Linked DNA regions of Arabidopsis thaliana. The protein of the gene in region 1 purifies or fractionates together with the protein of each later gene. This does not show direct contact. Each region holds a gene or a part of one and is shown in the gene's direction. Other genes may lie near its edges.

Evidence for each region. Proteins that work in one complex are often made in the same cells at the same time.
Region 2: the proteins of sks18 (region 1) and HB33 fractionate together in Arabidopsis thaliana (co-fractionation; one large-scale study listed by BioGRID). This does not show direct contact.

What each region holds. Positions count from the first base shown.
Region 1 is NC_003070.9:28,454,270-28,459,210, reverse strand, and holds sks18 (SKU5 similar 18), read left to right. Parts: upstream 1-1,682; 5' UTR 1,683-1,822; coding exon 1,823-1,960; intron 1,961-2,085; coding exon 2,086-2,195; intron 2,196-2,268; coding exon 2,269-2,539; intron 2,540-2,751; coding exon 2,752-2,854; intron 2,855-2,951; coding exon 2,952-3,312; intron 3,313-3,415; coding exon 3,416-3,781; intron 3,782-3,863; coding exon 3,864-3,942; intron 3,943-4,021; coding exon 4,022-4,231; 3' UTR 4,232-4,430; downstream 4,431-4,941. Other genes in the region: AT1G75800 (Pathogenesis-related thaumatin superfamily protein), read right to left, coding at 1-186, 268-322.
Region 2 is NC_003070.9:28,239,043-28,243,323, forward strand, and holds HB33 (homeobox protein 33), read left to right. Parts: upstream 1-1,968; 5' UTR 1,969-2,359; intron 2,360-2,436; 5' UTR 2,437-2,533; coding exon 2,534-3,463; 3' UTR 3,464-3,753; downstream 3,754-4,281. UniProt on the Arabidopsis thaliana protein: Putative transcription factor. Binds DNA at 5'-ATTA-3' consensus promoter regions. Regulates floral architecture and leaf development. Regulators in the abscisic acid (ABA) signal pathway that confers sensitivity to ABA in an ARF2-dependent manner.

The sequences.
Region 1 (4,941 bases):
TGGAACATTGAGTTCTCCCCCAGAATCTTCCTCCCCATGAAGTTGGAGCGCTGATTGTTCGTTCTTCGCCTTTTTGGAGAACGAATCCGGTCGTCGGAAGTGGTGGAACTCCGGCGTTTGATAAAAGTCCAGGCCAGACTGTGTATTCGCATTTGTTCACCATAATGAAGCTCGTTGATCTAACTCCTGTTTATAAAACCATAAAATCATCAGAATCACAGTATTATTAATCATAACTAAAGTTGATCTATAGGAGAAGATTCGTACCAGAAACGAACAAATGAGAGAAGATAAGGAAGATCAATGGCAACGGAAGAGCCATTGAATTGGAGAAGAAGAAGATTTAAGGACTTTAATTGCTCTGTTTTCTTCTTCTTCTTTATTAGTTTTATTTATGAAACAGAGACTTAAAAGAGGATTCTGAGAGCGAAAGAGAGATGAAGAAGAAGATGTGTGCTTTATAGTAGAAGCTTTTTTCCTCTGTTGGTGAGAATCTGGTGTATGTGTTGGTTGGTAGCTTATGGTACGCCTGCTTACGTGGACACATCTAATTGGTTATTTTTTTTAACCGTTGAGATTAAGAAAAGCACCTGATGATTTTATATAGTAAATTTTGTTGTTTAATCGGTTCATAGTTCATAATTAGCACTATACGATAATGGGTTAGTCTGGTTTTTAAATAGTTAAATTACCACTAATTGTTGTCCGAGTTTGATTGATAACATTTTAACGAAAATATCCAATTACCTTTTGACGTTCACTTTTAATTAAAAATATCTACAAAACGTAAAGTAGATCTTTATTTTTCAAGATTCTTTAACTTTACTGTTTAGTTACGTGATTAGGATTTGTAACCACGTAGACGTGTAAAACAAAATTACTTTTTTATCTGTGATTTATAGGAATTTGAGATTTGAATGCAACGTTGTTGTTTCATCTAACAATAAGTGATGAAGAACTTCAAAAGTCTAAAACCATATCATTTATAAAATCATCATTTCATTTTCAGAACAACTAGGTACGATTAGTGGACGTTTCAACGTCTTTCATGATAATCGCGGGCCATGTAAATTATTATATTTGAGGAATGAGGATCCATATAATATCTTGGCTATATAAAAATTATTTATTTGTTCAATATAATATCTTTGCGTTTTATTGATCAATTGCAAGTTTGCAACGATATACACCAGGAAAAAAAAGGAGAAACAAAATTCATTTTGCTTATACGTATGTACTATGTACATTTCTGTATACTCAAAGTTGTTAGATATTTTGTTGTGGAAAGTGATAATGTTGTTACTTTTTACTGTTTTTTAGGTGGTGTGAACTGTGAAAGTTTGAAAGATACAAAAGTGATGAATAATTTTTCAATAATTGTTTTGCGTTGTATTATTTTTTGTAGGAGTAATAGCGACCATCTTTGTAATATTGTGTAGACAGACAGGTCACATCCACTTTACAATATATCGTAAGCAATTGCCATCGTCCTCCCTCACGTTTTTTTTTTCGTCCGTCACATTACAATAAGATATTTAATGGGCCTTTATGCATGGTTTAGTATAATGAATAAGCCCAGCAAATTTTAACAAAAGCACAAATGTGCTGCCCATAAATTAGGTTGGAAATGCAGATTGCATGAACTTTTCGATCATATTCAAAAAACATAGCACAAAACAAACGTTAACTCCAAACAGAGTAACAATAGTTGTCGTCTAATTAATATATTGTTCCAAAGAAAAATATGTAGCTACGTCTTGCCTCTAACACCTCTTTTTCACATCACAAGCATCTTAAAATTTCTTAAATCACTCTTTTCGCGATGAGACATGTCTTTGTCGAGGTGTTGGTTCTGATCTCTTTGGTCATCTTGGAGTTGAGCTATGCGTTTGCACCAATCTCATCGTATCAATGGGTCGTCTCGTATTCTCAACGTTTCATTCTTGGAGGCAACAAGCAGGTAACCATTTTCATTTGAATATGTTTTTATTTGTTACAATAATATGGTTTTAGCTATCTTATATGAAATTTCAGATGCATGATCAATCTATAGGTTATAGTATTCACCAAAAAAAAAATCTATAGGTTATAGTGATCAACGACATGTTCCCTGGACCGATCCTTAATGCAACAGCAAACGATATCATTGTCGTTAACATTTTCAACAATTTGCCCGAACCCTTCCTCATGACTTGGTATATATTTTCAACTTTTTGTTTTGGGTTAATTTTAGGAATAATTGTTATTAAACCTCTATGTAAATTAAAGGAATGGATTGCAATTGCGGAAGAACTCGTGGCAAGATGGAGTTCGAGGGACAAACTGTCCCATACTACCGGGGACAAATTGGACGTACCGTTTTCAGGTGAAGGATCAAATTGGAAGTTACTTTTATTTTCCGACCCTTCTACTTCAGAAAGCTGCCGGAGGATACGGTGCTATTAGAATCTATCCCCCAGAACTTGTCCCAGTCCCATTCCCTAAGCCCGACGAAGAATACGACATCTTGATTGGAGATTGGTTTTATCTCGACCATACAGTATGTTTCTTTGATAAATTACCGTATTATCATCAAACCTACATTCCAATACTATCCTTTTTATATATAAAAAAACTAATTTTGTAGATCATAATCATTTTGGTTATTGAGTTTTATCTTGCCCATTTATTGAATGTGTTATTAGTTTCATTGTAAAAGATGTTTTGCTTGATTTGCATAATTAACACTTGGTTTCCAAATTTTGGTGTAAGGTTATGAGAGCTTCACTTGACGCTGGTCACAGTTTGCCAAATCCTGATGGTATTCTTTTTAACGGGCGTGGCCCTGAAGAGACCTTCTTTGCATTTGAACCAGGTGAGTTTTTTTCTTCTTTTAAAAATATTACATTATATCTTTAATAATGTAGTTTACACACAAATGTTCTTTTTATGTTGTCTATATATAATCACAGGCAAAACATATAGGCTAAGAATATCAAACGTGGGTCTCAAAACATGCTTAAACTTCAGAATCCAAGACCACGATATGCTTCTAGTTGAGACAGAGGGTACGTATGTTCAAAAACGTGTTTACTCGAGCCTGGACATCCACGTAGGCCAATCATACTCTATTCTTGTCACTGCCAAAACCGACCCGGTTGGAATTTACCGGTCTTACTACATATTCGCCACAGCTCGGTTCACTGATTCCTACCTTGGCGGTATAGCTTTAATTCGATATCCCGGTTCCCCACTTGACCCAGTCGGACAAGGTCCACTCGCACCTGCTTTGCAAGATTTTGGTTCCTCAGTTGAACAAGCCCTTTCCATTAGGTAAAGAAATACTCTTTTTTTATACCAAAGAATAAAAACTTTTATATGAAATATTTCGTTTAGTATTTGTTCTTGACTAATAAACGTTAAGTGTACGACACAGAATGGACCTGAACGTTGGAGCAGCAAGATCGAACCCTCAAGGTTCGTACCACTATGGACGAATAAACGTAACCAGAACGATAATATTACATAACGACGTTATGTTATCGTCGGGCAAACTACGGTATACGATTAACGGCGTTTCGTTTGTCTACCCCGAGACTCCGTTAAAGCTCGTTGATCATTTTCAGCTAAATGACACGATAATCCCTGGCATGTTCCCGGTTTATCCATCCAACAAAACACCGACTCTTGGAACTTCAGTGGTCGATATTCATTACAAAGATTTCATCCACATCGTGTTCCAGAACCCTCTATTTGGATTGGAGAGTTATCACATCGATGGTTACAATTTCTTCGTTGTCGGGTAAAAATTACAATATTTAAATCATAATTATGTGTATGATGATTAAATTAGGTGTACTAATTTTATTTGAGTTTAATGTTAGATATGGATTTGGAGCTTGGTCTGAAAGCAAAAAAGCTGGATATAACTTAGTAGATGCTGTTTCACGGTCAACAGTTCAGGTTAAGCCATATCTAATCTCGTAATTTAAAGTATTAAACCAGTGATTAGTTTTGGTTAATTGATTCTGTGTGTGTTTAGGTTTATCCATATTCGTGGACAGCAATATTGATAGCTATGGATAATCAAGGAATGTGGAACGTGAGATCACAGAAAGCAGAGCAATGGTATCTTGGTCAAGAGCTTTATATGAGAGTTAAAGGTGAAGGAGAAGAAGATCCTTCGACTATTCCGGTTAGAGATGAAAATCCGATACCGGGAAATGTCATCCGTTGTGGCAAAGTTCGATAATAATTAATTGTCTGAAATAATAAAACCTAGAAAAGTCTATTTTAATTAGCAAAACTAAAGAACGGTTTAAAGGAATGATCAGAGAGTATTAGGATCTGTGTTGATCTTAGGGTTTGTGGTTTGATTGCGATTCGAATCACTTGTGTAATTGCAGAAGACGGATGGTAATTTAAAGAGATGATCTTAGGGTTTGTGGTTTGATTGCGACTAAAGACTACTAGACGATGCCGTTTTAGATTTTAATGGGCTCACACAGTTGTTATCTGCAAACCGGCCCAGGTCTGTTTTGACTTGGTGAGTGCTAACGTGCTCTATAAGAAGATATTGTAGCCACATACGAACAGCTAACGTGCTCCCATTTCCTCTATGTTCCCTTGAGTGACATACGTTTTCACAATAAGTTGGGAGCAAGTAATTTACCAAGAACAAATATATATTTTAAAAAATATAGGATCCTTTTACAAGTTCAATTATTGATTTTGACGTTACGTATAAACAGTAGATCGACCATGACATAAATAAAAATGAAAAAATAATTGGATCAAATCTCAGATCTTACTACAGTCTACATCTACCTAGCTACATGTGCTATGGCATTATTTGTTTTTCATGTTATCATCAATATTGTATAAAAGATCCAAACACAATCAGTGTGATGATATTTTTCTATACTTTTGATCATTCAACCGATTTCAATTATTGTGTTTGAT
Region 2 (4,281 bases), 220 kb from region 1:
CAGGTTGTCCATGGGAAATTCTGCAGAGGCTATGACGATTACTTTTTTTGTTGTTCTTATCAAAACTAAAATTAATCTGAAGATTGTTTTGTTTTGCGACCATCTTTAACATTTATTCAAACGCATGGATTATTGCATTTGACGTTGTGATATATATTCTTGTATTTTCCATCTTCTCAAAGTAACTAATATGAATGTAGAGCCAATTAGAACAAGCATTAATTAATGAAATGAACTAATCTGCATGTCTAATTATTCACACGTACGTACGCATAGATAATTTGTGAAACTAATTAGACTATTAGTCGTATATTGATGAACGTACTGATGAGATATCATTACAGTAGAGCCTGTGATTAAGCTTTCAATAGGAAAACATCTCCATGCTAGGACGACATGGTCCACAAAATATGGCTTTCTTGAGTATTATTAATCTTGATGAAGACTATACAAGTTGTATTATACTTGTAAAAACATTTTAATAATAACAAGTAATTTTATATAGTATATTAAAAGGAAAAGTAAAAAGGGGTAGAGTGAAATAGGAAAGAAGAAAAGACATGAGTAAGAAGAAATGGTGTTTGGACAAATTAGGGTTTGAAAAAAAAAGATTAAGGAGCGAGAGAGAGGGATGTAATAATGAAGAAGGAGGGAAGAGAGAGAGAGAAGGGGGCCCATAATGTGGCAGGGCATGTGGCTGGGCTTCCAACTTGACCTTGTCGGTTGTTCTCTGCACTGCCCTTCTCTGCAACCCACACACCTCTCTCTCTCTTTTTTCTTTCATTTTAAAATGAATATATCTCATTATTTCATCTTAATTAAGGAAATTTAGCTAATTCAAATCATGTAGTTACTTTGTTTGTGCTAAATTATGTCTACAGATAAGAGTATTATCCAACAGTTTCAAGGTATATAGTGACAAAAACACAATCTATATAGAAAAATAGTAAAATACAGAAACAAAGATTACGTAATAAGATTATCCGATACCATCAAGTTACTACATATGATCCATTTGGCACAAATTACAATGTTTTAGTTAAATTAATATTAGGTTGACTATTAAAATTGTTTAATATAGTATGCTTACAAGAGATTAACTATTTGAACATACAAGCAACAGTCTAAGCCCATTTCGGTGCATTATCCAGCTTTTTTGTTGTATAATTTTTCTCCAATTTTCAAGTAGTACTATATTTTTGCAAATTTATTTATAGTAAACGCGTTAATGACGTACTGTACACAGTAAAAATGAGCTCATAAAAACCCGAGATAGAATGTCAATTATTGCATCAGTTTCATGCGAGTTACACATATTACGAAATTTTGTGCTTCAAGTTACTATTCAACCACTATGTGTTTAGAGTAGTACTAGACCAATCAATTCATACAAAAATAAATCATTTGATTCAACGAATATTAATTATGCAATGTTAAGAACTACTAAAACTTTTTGGATACTCTCATATAGAAAAAAAAGACATATATAATCAGGAGGACACTCTATCGGACTCGCATTAACTTGAAGATTGAACTCAATATAGCCAGAAGTACATCTGTTTCCAAAAAACTGTGACAAATTTCCACATATCTTAAAAAAATTACAATTATTCCTGTTAACTATAGAGTAAAAATAATAATTAATTAGCCAAAAACCACAAAATAATAGTTTCCCATATTATTATTTTTCTGTATATTTTCTTTTTCATTTTAATCTGTCTTTATGATTAAGTTTGATAGTAAAAGGGTCAGTAAATAAACTACAAATCACATTCTGCTCTAAAGTACTATAAAGTAACAATATTATAGGATAAATCTCTTGTAAACACACACAAATAATCGAAATAGTAATTCAGAAATTCTCTTCTCATTAAAAATATAGAAGCCCTCATAAATATATATAAAAAGGTTATAAAAGCGCATTTAAAAATATAATACTAAAATGATAAATACAGATTAATGGAAGAAGTATAATAAAGAAGTACTTAATAAGTATAAGTATATAGTAGTAGGGTATGACATTAGTGTCATCTCTCACAAAGGGCTCAGCTCTTATCTCTTTCTCTCATGGCCTCACCACAAGCAACCAAATTGTCTCTTATAATCCGATCTCAAAGGTTGGCTTGTTGGGAGCACTGAGACATCAAACATGGTTTCTTCTTTCTTTCACTCTTAAAAAAACCAATTTAGCCCTAAAAACCTCCTTTTAGTTTAATCCCAAAAGTTCCTCAAATCTCTTCTATTCTCTCTCTCTCTCCATTAAAACCCTTCACAAGCAAAAAGCTTTGAGCTTTAAATGAGTTTAAGGTCCTGCAAAAACTGGGTTTTTCCTCGTGTACTTGTTCATCTTATCTCCTCTGTAAGTCTCTGATTCTCACTGCCATTTAGTTTTCTTTTTTGCCTTATTAGTAATCTCATTATCATGTTCTTTTTCAGGCATAAACTTCATTGAAGAAAAAGTCTTTTTTATTTTGTTGATCTCTTTTAATTAAGATCCTTTTGGGTTTTAATTTATTAATCTCCAAGAAAAAAAATGGATATGAGAAGCCATGAAATGATAGAGAGAAGAAGAGAAGACAATGGCAACAACAATGGTGGTGTTGTTATTAGTAACATCATTAGTACTAATATTGATGATAATTGCAATGGTAATAACAACAACACTCGTGTCTCTTGCAACTCTCAAACCCTAGATCACCACCAATCCAAGTCTCCCTCTTCGTTTTCCATCTCCGCCGCAGCTAAACCCACCGTAAGATACCGTGAGTGTCTAAAGAATCATGCGGCGAGCGTCGGCGGAAGTGTTCACGACGGATGCGGCGAGTTTATGCCGAGTGGTGAAGAAGGAACAATCGAAGCTCTCAGATGCGCTGCTTGTGATTGTCACCGTAATTTCCACCGGAAAGAAATGGACGGCGTTGGAAGCTCGGATTTGATCTCTCACCACCGTCATCACCACTACCACCATAACCAATACGGTGGAGGAGGAGGGAGAAGACCTCCGCCGCCGAATATGATGCTTAACCCACTCATGCTTCCTCCGCCACCGAATTATCAGCCGATTCACCACCACAAGTATGGAATGAGTCCTCCCGGAGGAGGAGGAATGGTGACGCCGATGAGCGTTGCTTACGGCGGTGGAGGAGGAGGAGCTGAGTCGTCTAGTGAAGATCTGAATCTGTACGGACAATCAAGCGGAGAAGGAGCTGGTGCGGCGGCGGGACAAATGGCGTTTTCGATGTCGTCGTCTAAGAAAAGATTCAGGACAAAGTTCACGACGGATCAGAAGGAGAGGATGATGGACTTTGCGGAGAAGCTAGGGTGGAGGATGAACAAGCAAGACGAAGAAGAGCTTAAGAGATTCTGCGGCGAGATCGGAGTGAAGAGACAAGTCTTCAAAGTTTGGATGCATAACAACAAGAACAATGCTAAGAAACCACCAACACCAACAACTACTCTCTAATCAGTGATCATATGATTAATTGAGAGATTATGTAAGAGATTTTCTTTTAATCTACTTTTGTTGTTGTTGTTTATTTAATGTTTTCCTTCTTCTAGGTTTTTGTAGTTTGTACGATCTTTGGATCAATCAATGGATCTTTTGTTTGCTTAGTTAATGTTTTTAATTTTGGTTTGCCTTTTTTTTTTAGTCTTTTTATTTTATTTTGTTTGTCTTTTACCCGGATCGTACTTGTAATCAGCTTCTGTTGCTTCTAGTTTATGCTTCTGTCTTTTTTACATTTAAGCTTAACACAAACAATTCTGCTGTACTAACTTAGATAGCCAAATACAAAACACTATAATTAACATTTTAATACAAGAAAACAAAATAATAATAATGCAAACATTGTAAACGTATAATGCAGCCATTATAGTACCTTTTTATATAATCATGAATAAAATGTTAATTAACAGAATTATTTTTGGCAGATTAACTTATCCGTATCAATATTTTAATTTTTTGATATATTGTAACGGTAGATATAACAATGATTTTAGAATTTTTTTATAGATATATATGACAAATTATATGAATACGCAAGCGTTATGATCAAAGTTGAACTTTTTAAAATGTTTGATGTGAAATATGTCCAAAATTGTAACCATATGATTTGAGTCTACTGTAGATCTGTCACCTTCCAACTTCTGTACCAAAAAGAAAAACATGTGAAAAGAAAATTTCTAAAAAACAGAAAAAGAGAAGATTCTCATTGTTATAAAATTCATAGATGAGGCCAAAATTATAGAACTCACGACCTATGTATCTTCTTCTTTTCTTCT